Cricetulus griseus: one gene and its partners. The protein of the gene in region 2 interacts with the protein of the main gene of each other region in a biochemical or structural test. Links are inferred from orthologs where the notes say so. Each region holds a gene or a part of one and is shown on either strand. Other genes may lie near its edges. The genes, in order: Cdc42, Bnip2 and Arhgap1.

Region 1 (3,648 bases), on a different chromosome or scaffold from region 2:
GATCTCTGTGAGTTCTTGGCCAGCCTGGTCTCCAGAGCGAGTGCCAGGATAGGCTCCAAAGCTACACAGAGAAACCCTGTCTCAAAACCAAAAAAAAAAAAAAAAAAGATACTTAAGACAAAACAACCAGGTCCAGAAACTTAGCAAATAGACCCTTGTAACTGCTGCTCTGAGCAAGTTGCCATTTTTCTTTTTAGAGGTTTTAAGCCATGTCAGTAATGCTGGTACTTTTCTTTGAGTAGCTGAACTTGTTACTAGTTGAGGGGAAAAATATGTATATAAATAGGAATCAATAGAATAATTGTCTTTAATTTTTTTTGTAGGTCACCATCTAATTTGAAATATTAAAAGTGGATACAAAACTATTTCCACAATGCAGACAATTAAGTGTGTTGTTGTTGGTGATGGTGCTGTTGGTAAAACATGTCTCCTGATATCCTATACAACAAACAAATTTCCATCGGAATATGTACCAACTGTAAGTATAAAGTCTTTCTGACAGCGAAAAGGATTGTTTGTCCATTGGAAAAAGTTTGCCTGCCTGCACTGAAATATTTTTCTGTCTATCTTTGATCTTTTTAAAAAAGAAATTAAATTTCATTGTTTATTTACTTTGTAGGGTATATGTATGTATATACTGTATGTATGTATATACAAACCTGCCTTGGTACATGTATGGAGGGCTGAGGACAACTTGAAGGAGTCTAGTTTGATCATGTGTGCTCTGTAATTGAACTCAGGTTGTCATGTTTTGCAAGTGCCCTCACCATCTCAATCATCATATCAGCCCATTGTTTGCTATTTTTAAAGGTTTTTGACTTCTCATGGGTAATTAACACTTTAAAATTAAACAGTTGAGGGTAGCGAGATGGCTCCACAGTTAAAGAGTACTGGCTGCTTTTCCAGAGGATTCAGATTCAACTCCCGGCCACCGCACCTGGCGTGACTTGTGTCTTTTGGAATTGATGAAATAGAGTCCAAAATCTTAGATTAACCTTCAGAAACATTGATGTTAGCTTCTGTGGTGTCACAGCTGGTGGAGGGGTTAGGCTAAAGCTACATGAGGAAAGAAGATGAAGTTTCTTTGAGAAGTGAGAATTTAAAGATGTAATTTCATAGCTGGGTGGTGGTGGCACACACGTTTTAATTCCAGCACATGGGAGGCAGAGGCAGGTAGATCTCTGTGAGTTCAAGACCAGCTTGGTCTACAGAGCGAGTTCCAGGAAAGCTAGGGCCACACAAAGAACCCTGTCTCCAAAAAAAAAAAAAAAAAGTTGATAATAAAACTACATTTTTGAGTTGGCCCATTAATCAGAAGATGTTTTGAAGTATGGTGTGGATTGTGTCTTAAGGTGAGATAGCCACTTGGGAAATTTGTGTCTGAATTTTTACTTATAAACATGATTTCCAAGTCTTTCATGATTTTGTTTGATGTGAACTTCCTGGGTGTTTTTTATGTATGTGCATTGTCGGGGAAAGAAGGGCAGTGAGGTAAATTTTTAAATGGGCCTATTTAGGTAAATAGGTCAAAGTAAGTTATATATCTATGGTATCTACATTGGCATGAAAACGGGTTTAGTATATAGTGCATATTTATGCCTATCCGTGGACTGATTTAACCATTTAGAGACTAGAGTTTAGAGCTGAAGATTTTTGGTTGTTGTTGTTGTTGTTGTTTTGTTTTTTTTGAGACAGGGTTTCTCTGTGGCTTTGGAGGCTATCCTGGAACTAGCTCTTGTAGACCAGGCTGGTCTCGAACTCACAGAGATGCGCCTCCCTCTGCTTCCCAAGTGCTGGGATTAAAGGCGTGCACCACTACCGCCCTGCTAGAGCTGAAGAATTTTATCGATCACCTTATCTTCCATGGAGAAAATTCATGCCCAACTGGTAGATGAGACTTGGAAATCAAGCTTTTTTCCTGACTCCCCCCTCCCCCCCCCCCTTTTTTGAGACTAAGTTTCAATTGTGTAGCCCTGGCTCTCCTGGAACTTGCTGTGTAGACCAGGCTGGCCTTAAACTCACAGAGGTCTGCTTATTGCCTCTATCCAGTGCTTCCTAATTTTGATTTTTTTTTCCCCCTGAGGTAAGGTTTCACTATCTTGTTGATGTTGGTTTCCAGAAATCAAGTGATCCTGCTGCCTTTACCTCCCAAGTGTTATAGCATCTGTATAGATAATACCCAACACAACCTGACACATTCCTGGCTTTTTTTTTCTTTAATTACTTAATTTTTAGTTATGTGGATCATGTCCACATGCTTGCAGCTGCCCACAGAGGCTAGCGGTGTTTGATTCCTCTAGAGCTGGAGTTATAGGTGGCTGTGAGTCTCATATAGGTGCTAGGAACTGAATTCAGTTTTCTGAAAGAACAGTATGAACTTTTAACCACTATGTCATCTCTCCAGCCCAGTTTCAGTTCTGAATTAAAAGGAACTGTTTGTGAATGAATAGTTTCTTAGAAATCAGATTGAACATTGTTGAAGCAAAGCCCTGTCTTTAAATTCGTTAGACTTGAAGGGGACTATTTGAAATTTTTATTTCTTATTTTTGAGACAGCCTTATATAGCCCAGAGTGGCCTCAGACTCACTAAGTAGGTCAGAGTGACCTTGGTTGGTTTTTCTTCCTTCCTCTACCTCCTAAGTGTTGGGATTATGGGGTGTTCCACCATACCCAGTTTGTCCTTCCTTCCTTCCTTCCTTCCTTCCTTCCTTCCTTCCTTCCTTCCTTCCTTCCTTCCTTCCTTTCTTCCTTCTCTTCCTCGCTCATTCAAGATTTATTTTTTTCATTTATGAGTGCTCTATCTGTGTATATGCCTTTATGATAGAAGAGGGCATCAGAGCACTGTAGAGGTGGTTGTGAGCCACCATGTGGGTGCTGGGAATTGAACTCTGAACCTCTGGAAGAGCAGCCAGTGATCTTACCTGCTGAGCCATCTTTCCAACCCCTCCTTTTTCTTTGTCTAAGCTGGTTTATTTTCATTTAGCAAAGTGTTTTATTCAAAAGCTTCTCAATACCACTAGTTGTCAGAATGAATATCACCTTTCCTTTATTATCCAACCCAATTGAAGATGGATGGAAGGTTGGTCCTCTGTAGTCAGAGACCTAGTTTCTGTGATACCACTTAAGATTTTTGTGTTCCTCAAGTAGTAGGACATCCCAGGACACAGTCTCTCATTTTTTCCCAAGAACCACTCAGCTAATGCAAGGACATAGTTGGTGAGATGGATTACATAAAAAGATACGAACTAAGGGAAGATGAATTTCCTTCTTGGGAAGGAAATAAGTGGTTGGGAATTGTACTATCTTACTCAGTAATAATATTATATTTCTTTGTTTTGTTTTTAGGTTTTCGACAACTATGCAGTCACAGTTATGATTGGTGGAGAGCCATATACTCTTGGACTTTTTGATACTGCAGGTGAAAACTTAAATGTCTCATAATGTTTTGATCTGTTAACTGTAACAGTTGCTACTGTGTGTCTTGTTTTGGACACCATTAAATTAGTATATTAGTAATTCACTTATTATATTTTGTTGATGGTTATTGGCATGGTGGCACACACCTCTAACCTCAGGATTTAGGAGACAGAGGCAGTCAGATCTCTGAGTTAGAGGCCAATCTAGTCTACATAGTGAGTTCCAGGACAG
Region 2 (3,648 bases):
GCTTCCTCTATCAGAATGAAAGTTCAATGGGTTTTGTTTTGCTTTCCTCTCTACAAAGAAATGTGTTCAAAAGTAACACAAACTTCACTGAAAGTTTTCAGTTCTTACCAGGTTGGCTGTCTGGACCAGTTACATCTAGTATATCTGCTTCAATACTGTCATCTTCTGGTAAAGGTCTAGACGACAAAGACACATTCTTTAACCCAGAAATTAAAAACAATTCTTTTGAAGCTCAAAGATCCATTAAAAATATCACTTAGTTATAAGGACTAAAGCTGTGTTTAAGCCCTACAAATCCGTTTGTATTCCTGTGTATGATGTCAGAAGATAATCTCAGATGTTCCTCAGGTGCTGTCCACTGTTTGAGACAGCATCTCTCACTGGTCTGGGATGGATCAAATAGCCCAGGCTGGCTGGCCAGTGTACTCTGGGGATCTGGTCTCCATCTCCCCGGGGCTGGGGTTATAAGTGGACACCACTATGCCTGGCACTCCATTCACTCTTGTAGACACCTGATATCCCATCCCTCTGTAAGCCCAAGACCTCAGCTTAAAGCAGTCTGCTAAAAATCTTTAGTTGAAGATATGAAAGATCACCAGTCACACAGTTGGAAAATTAACTTTCACTTTCTAGAATCCAGCAATCACTTGTAACCTTTTTAAAGAAGCTCAACATATATGAGCTGACAGTTCAATGAAGTAATTCTTAAGCTTTGTTCCAAATCCATTTTAACAAAAAGTACTGCTCACATTGGAAAATCTTCATCCTGCCATTCTTCTTTGAGCTCCACACCTTCCATCCTCAGCCTGGATTCAATGTCAACTTCCAGTTCCTGGCAGTCCAGGCAGCCGAGGTCCTGGGAGGGAAAGATGGACAAGAGCTCCATTTCCAGTTTACTCTTCATCTGCAGCAAAGGGGCAACAACCCCACCCAAGCTCCCATTCCCCACTCCAGCAGCTGCAGAGGTATTAGTTCAGTGAAACTTGACCCTTATTATTATTTATCTCACATAAATAAATATTTTCTCTCCACAGAATCATAACTAAGCCTTACATCTTAGTTCTGGACATAAGGGTGATTCTAGAAACCACATTAGTAACTTACAAGCACACGAATGCTCACCAGGTCCCAGTGCTATGCGGTGTTTACAGCTCCTCCTCTCCATTCCTGAATCACTTAGAGGCTACCCAGGAGCTTGTCCAGCAATGCACTAATTTCTAATGTGTTTCCCATTTGTATCATGCCTCTCTCACAGAGCTCAGCACTCAAATTAGTGATGCTTTCATATTTACAACTATACTTTTCAACTTAAGCCCCAAAGTTTAATTTTATTTTTGTAGGAAACTATAAGAATTCTCAGTAAGATGGCACACTGACTCACCTTCTGTCTGACAGAATACAGCATTTGAAATACAGTGTAAGTCATGAAGAAGAGTTGGAGAGATGATTCAGTGGCCAGTTCCCAGCACCCACAAGATGGCTCACAACTACTTGAGACCCCAGTTTCAGGGGCATCACACAACCACTTCTGACCTTTGATAGTGCTGCATGCACACGGTGCACAGATATGCAGACAAAACACTCACACATAAAATAAAAAACAAATCTTAAAAAGAGGTCATGATGATCAGCTGGTAAAAAGTACAACAGAAACAGCTGACAAATACTGAAGCAAGAAGTATCATTGAGATTCAACTCATTTACATTACAACAATCAATGGAACAAGTTACTGCAGGCTGCACTAAACCACACTTCTGTTTCTATCTTCTTGCCCTTTAGTCTAGGCTGTCTTCAAACTTGTGATCTTGCTATTCCAACCTCCCGAGTTCTGGAACTACAGGCATGGGCCATGATGCCTAGCTTCACATTTTTAAGAGTCACACAGTAATAACAACGAAGTAGTAGTAGTTCCAAGTGGTTGACACAGAGAAGAAAGGGTGGTACGCCTATATAGCACACCCACACACTTCCATACTACTTGATTTTAAAAAAACTGCAGAGCATGGTAGCTCACACCTTTAATTCCAGCATTTAGGAGGCAGAGGCAGGTGAATCTCTAAGAGTTCAAGGTCAGCATGGTCTACAAAGCAAGTTCCAGGACAGAGAAACCCTATTTTGAAAAACAAAACCCAAACCAAACCAAACAAACAAACAAACAAAACCCACCTTCCTAAATAAAATAAATGATGAGAACCATTAACATGCATATCAAATGATATTCTAAAAACAAACTACAAGGGACATTAAATTCTCTGAAGTGTTAAGTTTCATATAGCAAATTAAACCATTCCTCTAATAACTAGAGGTCTCTATCTCCCAGTTTGAGTACTTATACTTGGGAAGGTCTCAAAGGACGTACATTTTTATAAATCTATTTATTAGCATGGGGGGGTAATATGCTAACTTTCTGTCACTGAACTACTCAGTGGGTAAAGAACCAGAATAGTTCCCATGGTCTTGTCCTACCTTTCTACTGGGTATGGGGAGGGGGAGGATCAGAGTATTCTGTATGTCTTTCTTAAATAACAAGAAAAAAAGTCTCAGAAATAACAGCAGAGACTGACAATTGCAATGGACATATCCTTAGTCTTAGTACAATGCTCAGCACATTTTAGATTTAACAGTGAAGGCACACCATTATTGGGCAAGTTCTTAAGCTTATATTGCTTTCTGAACTATATAAATAGGATTCCTGTTATGAGTTCCCCCTTAAAAATGTCATGAAAAATACTACAAGAACATAAATACATGCAATATAAGTCACTGTTGGTGAAATTATTCTTTATTTGCTGAAAGAAATATTTTGTCTGTGAAATGCCTCTTAACTGCCTTCATTACTTGAGAAATAATTCGTTCAAAATTGTTATGGAGGCTGAGGTTAGCAATCCCAGTGCTCTGGGGCCTACAAGAGGATTAAGGTTGAATGGGAGACTAGCCTGGGCTATATAGCAAGACCCTGCCTTAAATAGAAACAACAACAAAGGAGCTCTTTTACATACACACAGGCTTGTAACCCCCTGGCTATCTCAGAGGCTGAGGCAGGAAGACTGCATGTTCAAGGCCACCTCGAACCTCTGAGTTAGACCCTGTGTCCAAATAAACTAGAAAGGTAGGGCTGGGGCTGTAGCTCAGACACTACTTGCTCAGTAATGGGGCCCTGAATTCAATTCTCAGCACCACAAACAACACAGAAAGCCCAGGTCCTTCAGCCCTTGTAGCTCACCTCCTCAATTGTTACTCTAATGTCCTCCATCATGTGATGTTCATACATCTCTATACATTGGCATGGGTTTTTAGTTATGGGGACAGTTATCTAGGCTAGTTAAACAAAGGGGACAGAGAGAAATAGAGGTTCACTCCCCCATTTCATCAAGAACTTTGGGGGCAGCACACTAGGTAGATTAAAAACAAAGTCAACAATCGAGCTCTGTTCTTGGAAGCACTTTATCACCAGGCAGCTGTAGGAACAGGAAATAACAAGAAAGGAGCTGAAATAAGTACAACTGCTCTGGAGGGAATCCGGATGCCTCTGACTCACCAGCTTGTTGCAATTTCCCAGTTTTGCCTTTAGAACTTTAAAATGTTACAATAGGGAAATAGCGCTTCGATACATTATTTGTCAAAATAACGTACTTTCACAGAAATAA
Region 3 (4,127 bases), on a different chromosome or scaffold from region 2:
TTTCTGCTCTCGGCTCCATAAAAATACCTCCCTTGAGCTCACCCAACACATTTGCCCAACCCTAAAGAAGCAGCTGCATTCCTGATGCCAGAAAAAAATGACATATATGGTCAGAGAATTAGCAGGGCAGATAAGAGGAGCAGAAAGGGCCTGGGGATAGGACGGAAGAGAAGGGTTGCCACATGAGATCCACACTGTGGGCTAGGAGAATCGTGACAACCTCCCCTCCCTGCACACATTACAGCCTAGGGCTCTAAACTAGCTCTCAGAGCCTAAGCAACAACTGCCTTGTTACCATGACAACATACTGAGTCAGGAGGAAAACTGTTTCACACTTTCAAAGCCAAAGACAAAAGCTTCTTCCTTGTTCTTTCTCTCCCCTGTCCCTTGGCCTTATCCACAAATCCAGCTGGACACCAATATATAGATTCCTCCCTAAGAACACAAAGGGCAAACCTCTCACATTTGGGAATGCATTTCTCTTAGTGAGTAAATCTGCCTCTGCCCAAAGCCCAGATCTTTACTCCCACGTCAACCCTCAGTCCTCAAACCAAGCAATCTTCCATCTTGAGGAATTTGCCTCCAACCCGCCTTCTCAACCCAATTCAACCAGGAGTCTATAGGGCTGCTTCTCACAGGATCCTCTAGCTTAGTGGTTCTCAATCTATAGGTAGAAACCTCTTTGGGGGCCAAACAACCCTTTCGCAGGGACTATGTAAGACCATTGGAAAACACAGATATTTATAATTCATAACAGTAGCAAAATTATAGTTATGAAGTATCAATGAAAATAATTTTATGGTGGGGGGGTCACCACAACATGAGGAACTGCATTGAAGGGTTGCAGCATTTGGAAGGTTGAAAAACACTGACTGATTAAAGGATAGATTCCAGATCAAAACACCTTCCTGGCTGAGCCTTCTCTCCATTTCTATCACGGCCCAGTTACAGGAACTCCTTGACACCCCCATCTCACAGCTATCCAAGAGAAATCTTTTAGTACACAGTAAGTACCTGGTATGACAGAAACAGCATGAAGTCAAATATATGAAAAACTGTCTTAGAGTCCTGTCTAAGCCAAGGACTGTAAAGATCCCAGGCAAGCGCCTTTCCTGTCTGGACCTTAAATTTCCTTATCTACAGAAGCAAAGGCTCCTCCCAGAAATACAATTCTGCAGTGTTCAGCAGCACTCAAATGGGAGAGAACAGAGTTAAAAGTAGCAGCTGGAACTGAGCTCTGTGAGGGAGGGAGAGGGAAACTATCAAGAAGAGAGCAGAACTGACTCCCAGCTCTTTCCCAAGAACCTCGATTCTGTACATTCTAGACCTGACCTCCTTCAACTCCCACACAACCTCCTTTACCAACAAAACTAATCCCAGTAGTGCCCAGCTCCCTGGCCTCTCTCACTCCCATCTATTGCCTTCTCTGAGCTGGGACGTTTATCTGCTGTCCATTGGGAGACGAGGGAAGCCTAGGAAGGGAAATTCTAACACAAAATGATAGAAATAAAGTATACCAGTCACCTGTGAGTCCTACTCCACTCTGCAAAAACACTTCTCTCTCTCTCAGATTAATATTCCTTTCCGAGCAGATAAACCTTGACCTTCAAAAAGTGTTTGAAATCACTTTAGGCAAAGCCTTTGACTTTTACAAAACAGTCAAATATCTCTGAAATTCTGACATCTGTGGACTTTTCTCTAGGAAAAATGAACAGATCCATGAAATCTTGATTGCAATTTTAAAGGCTTCACAAGCCCTCTTAGAATTACTGCTTAAGAACCTATTTCAAAGGCTAAATCATAGCTCAGTAGTAGAGCACTTTGCCTGCACACACTGGGCCCTAGCTCCTCTATGCAGCATAGAAAAACAAAGCCATCTATTCAGAACAATGCCCAGCACATAGGAGACACTCTGTCATTAGTTGAATGAATGATTTTCCTAAGTAGAGAAGGAAACCAACATTTGTGGAAAGCCAATATAGTGCTTCAAGCTGACCACAAATTCACCTCACAACTGCATTACTTGTTCAGCATATGCTATCAAAGCCATTTACAATTTGAACAAAATGGGGGGAAGGGTGAGCAAATTGCTAAAGGTCATAGAACCCAGACGCAAGATTTTAATCCACAAGTACCAGTTTGAGGTGGTCTCTTGGTGAAAGTCAACCCCTCAACAACTCTCATGTGACTATCAGTCACAAAGTTCACAGGGTTCAAAGAGGCGCCACAAAGGGGCATTCAGAACTTTTCATGTCAAGGCAGAACAGAGCTAGCAACCTGAAGTCATAGTACTTGCTGGCGTTAGAATCGGACTGTTTTGTGACTCCGGAAAAACAAAACTCCTACATGACAGCAACTCTAAACTATAATCACGTTTGCACAGTCAAAAAAAACAAACAACAGATTGAGTGTATTTCATTTCACAAGAAAATGAGAAGAAAGCATGACTTATCAAGTGGCAAAGTCTATCACTTCCTCCTAATTTCTCGCTCTCGGTGCTTTTCCAGATCCTGTCAGGGAGACTTCTCCCTCCCGCGGGTTTGTTCTGTAATGGCCTATGCCTGAGAGAGGGCAGGAAGAAGTCAGAGAAAGTGGCTGTCTTCTCATTGCAGACACCGAAGTGGGGCAAAATCCCAGTAGCAGAGAGATCAAGGCCCTCGGGCCCAGTTCCACCGCCCGCGCCACTGCCTCCGATTCTCCCCTTTAGGACCGAAACCCTTCAGATGACCAGAGCAGCTCGTTCCCTTCCCCCACCAGCCCAGCGAGACCCCGCGCTCTGCAGCTCACCGCGCTCAGGCAATGCTCCCTCTGCCACGCCTGTCAAAGCTCAGCAAACATCCGGCTACGAGAAGGAACGGGAACCGCCCCCTCGGGGGGCCCTGAGCTCCCCAGCCACTTCCGCCACATCTTCCTCCTACTTCCGGCCTTGCTGCCCGGTCCAAACATGGCTTTCCTGGAACCCCGCCCACTTCCGGCAATCACCTGCCGAAATGCACGCCTAAGAGGTTACACAGTATAACAACTGTCCGGCTGGTCGCTCCCCAAAGGAGGGTGGGTTGGGCAGATTGGTTCCGTTCTTCCAGATACTGGAAAGTAGCGTGCCTCGGGAATCCTTTCGTTCTCAGACTTTTGTCTGTCCAGTATTTCTAAACTCCCAGTCCTGTGGTCCAATGATGCCTAACCATTGAGATTCTTTCTTCTTTCCTCTTTTTTTTTTTTTTTTGGTTCTGAATTCTTTCTTGAGCTTAAATTTGGAAGTCAAGGACTGTTTCCGCGAGGAACCGGGACAAAAACGCTCACTTCCGGCGGAGGGGTAGTGGCGAGAGCTCTCTGATCCAGTATGAAGGAGGCGGAGGAGGTGCTCTTGGGGAAGACACTGCCGCTCCGTGAGTGACCTGCGATGTCTGCGACCCTCAGCCCGGCACTAGATGGCCCCAGCGTTTTCTAGTCAACGCCTCCTCCCTACATCCCTTTTTCTCTCTAGCCTGGGATCCTGCCCCGGTGCCTTCCAATGCTCTGGGGTTTAAGAGCCTAGACCCCCTTCCAAGTTTTCAGGGGCTGAGGTAGAGCCTTGCTTATCCCTCAAACCCCTGAGGCATAGCTGACCTTGCACTTTCCCCAACCCCACGCCCTCGTGGGCCGCTCCTTCACTGCCTTCCCGTCTCCCTGCAGCCCCCAAGCCGATCCTGGGCCAGGAATCAGGATGGAGCCTTTCTGGAGGAGGCTTTGCTCAGGGCCTCAAAGACTTCCCGCCTGGTTCGAGCCCTGTCATACTTGCTCTAAAGACCCTCCCCCAGGGCTTGGCCCTGGGCCCCTCGAGCGCCAGGAAACAGCACTTGGGGGTCTGGTGTGTCGGAGAGCCCCTGCAGCTCGGACTGCATTGGGGACCTCTGGAAGTGGACTCCTTCTCGGAGGAGAAGGGCGAGGGAGTGAAGCCACCACGCGAGCAGGTATTGAAGAATAGGACATCTCCTGTCCTAAAGTTTGCGGGAGGTTCAGGTATTTCCTGGCAGCTCTGAGTTGGTTAGAAGCAGGGTATTTAAAGCGCTGGGAAGTCGTTTTTGTCCCTTTACTACAGGACTGTGTTTCCTTACCTAAGCTGCAGTAACTAAGGAATGCAGATGCAA

The links.
Region 1: the proteins of Bnip2 (region 2) and Cdc42 form a complex in vitro, tested with the Homo sapiens proteins (2 studies listed by BioGRID, with this or other methods). The link is inferred for Cricetulus griseus from reciprocal best matches to the Homo sapiens genes BNIP2 and CDC42.
Region 3: the proteins of Bnip2 (region 2) and Arhgap1 form a complex in vitro, tested with the Homo sapiens proteins (2 studies listed by BioGRID). The link is inferred for Cricetulus griseus from reciprocal best matches to the Homo sapiens genes BNIP2 and ARHGAP1.

What each region holds. Positions count from the first base shown.
Region 1 is NC_048595.1:15,978,198-15,981,845, forward strand, and holds part of Cdc42 (cell division control protein 42 homolog), read left to right. Parts: intron 1-323; 5' UTR 324-373; coding exon 374-478; intron 479-3,345; coding exon 3,346-3,418; intron 3,419-3,648. UniProt on the Homo sapiens protein: Plasma membrane-associated small GTPase which cycles between an active GTP-bound and an inactive GDP-bound state. In active state binds to a variety of effector proteins to regulate cellular responses. Involved in epithelial cell polarization processes.
Region 2 is NC_048597.1:181,527,729-181,531,376, reverse strand, and holds part of Bnip2 (BCL2/adenovirus E1B 19 kDa protein-interacting protein 2), read right to left. Parts: intron 857-3,648; 5' UTR 800-856; coding exon 750-799; intron 177-749; coding exon 109-176; intron 1-108.
Region 3 is NC_048599.1:85,113,520-85,117,646, forward strand, and holds the start of Arhgap1 (rho GTPase-activating protein 1), read right to left. Parts: upstream 2,922-4,127; 5' UTR 2,788-2,921; intron 1-2,787. Other genes in the region: Znf408 (zinc finger protein 408), read left to right, coding at 3,341-3,386, 3,673-3,950. UniProt on the Homo sapiens protein: GTPase activator for the Rho, Rac and Cdc42 proteins, converting them to the putatively inactive GDP-bound state. Cdc42 seems to be the preferred substrate.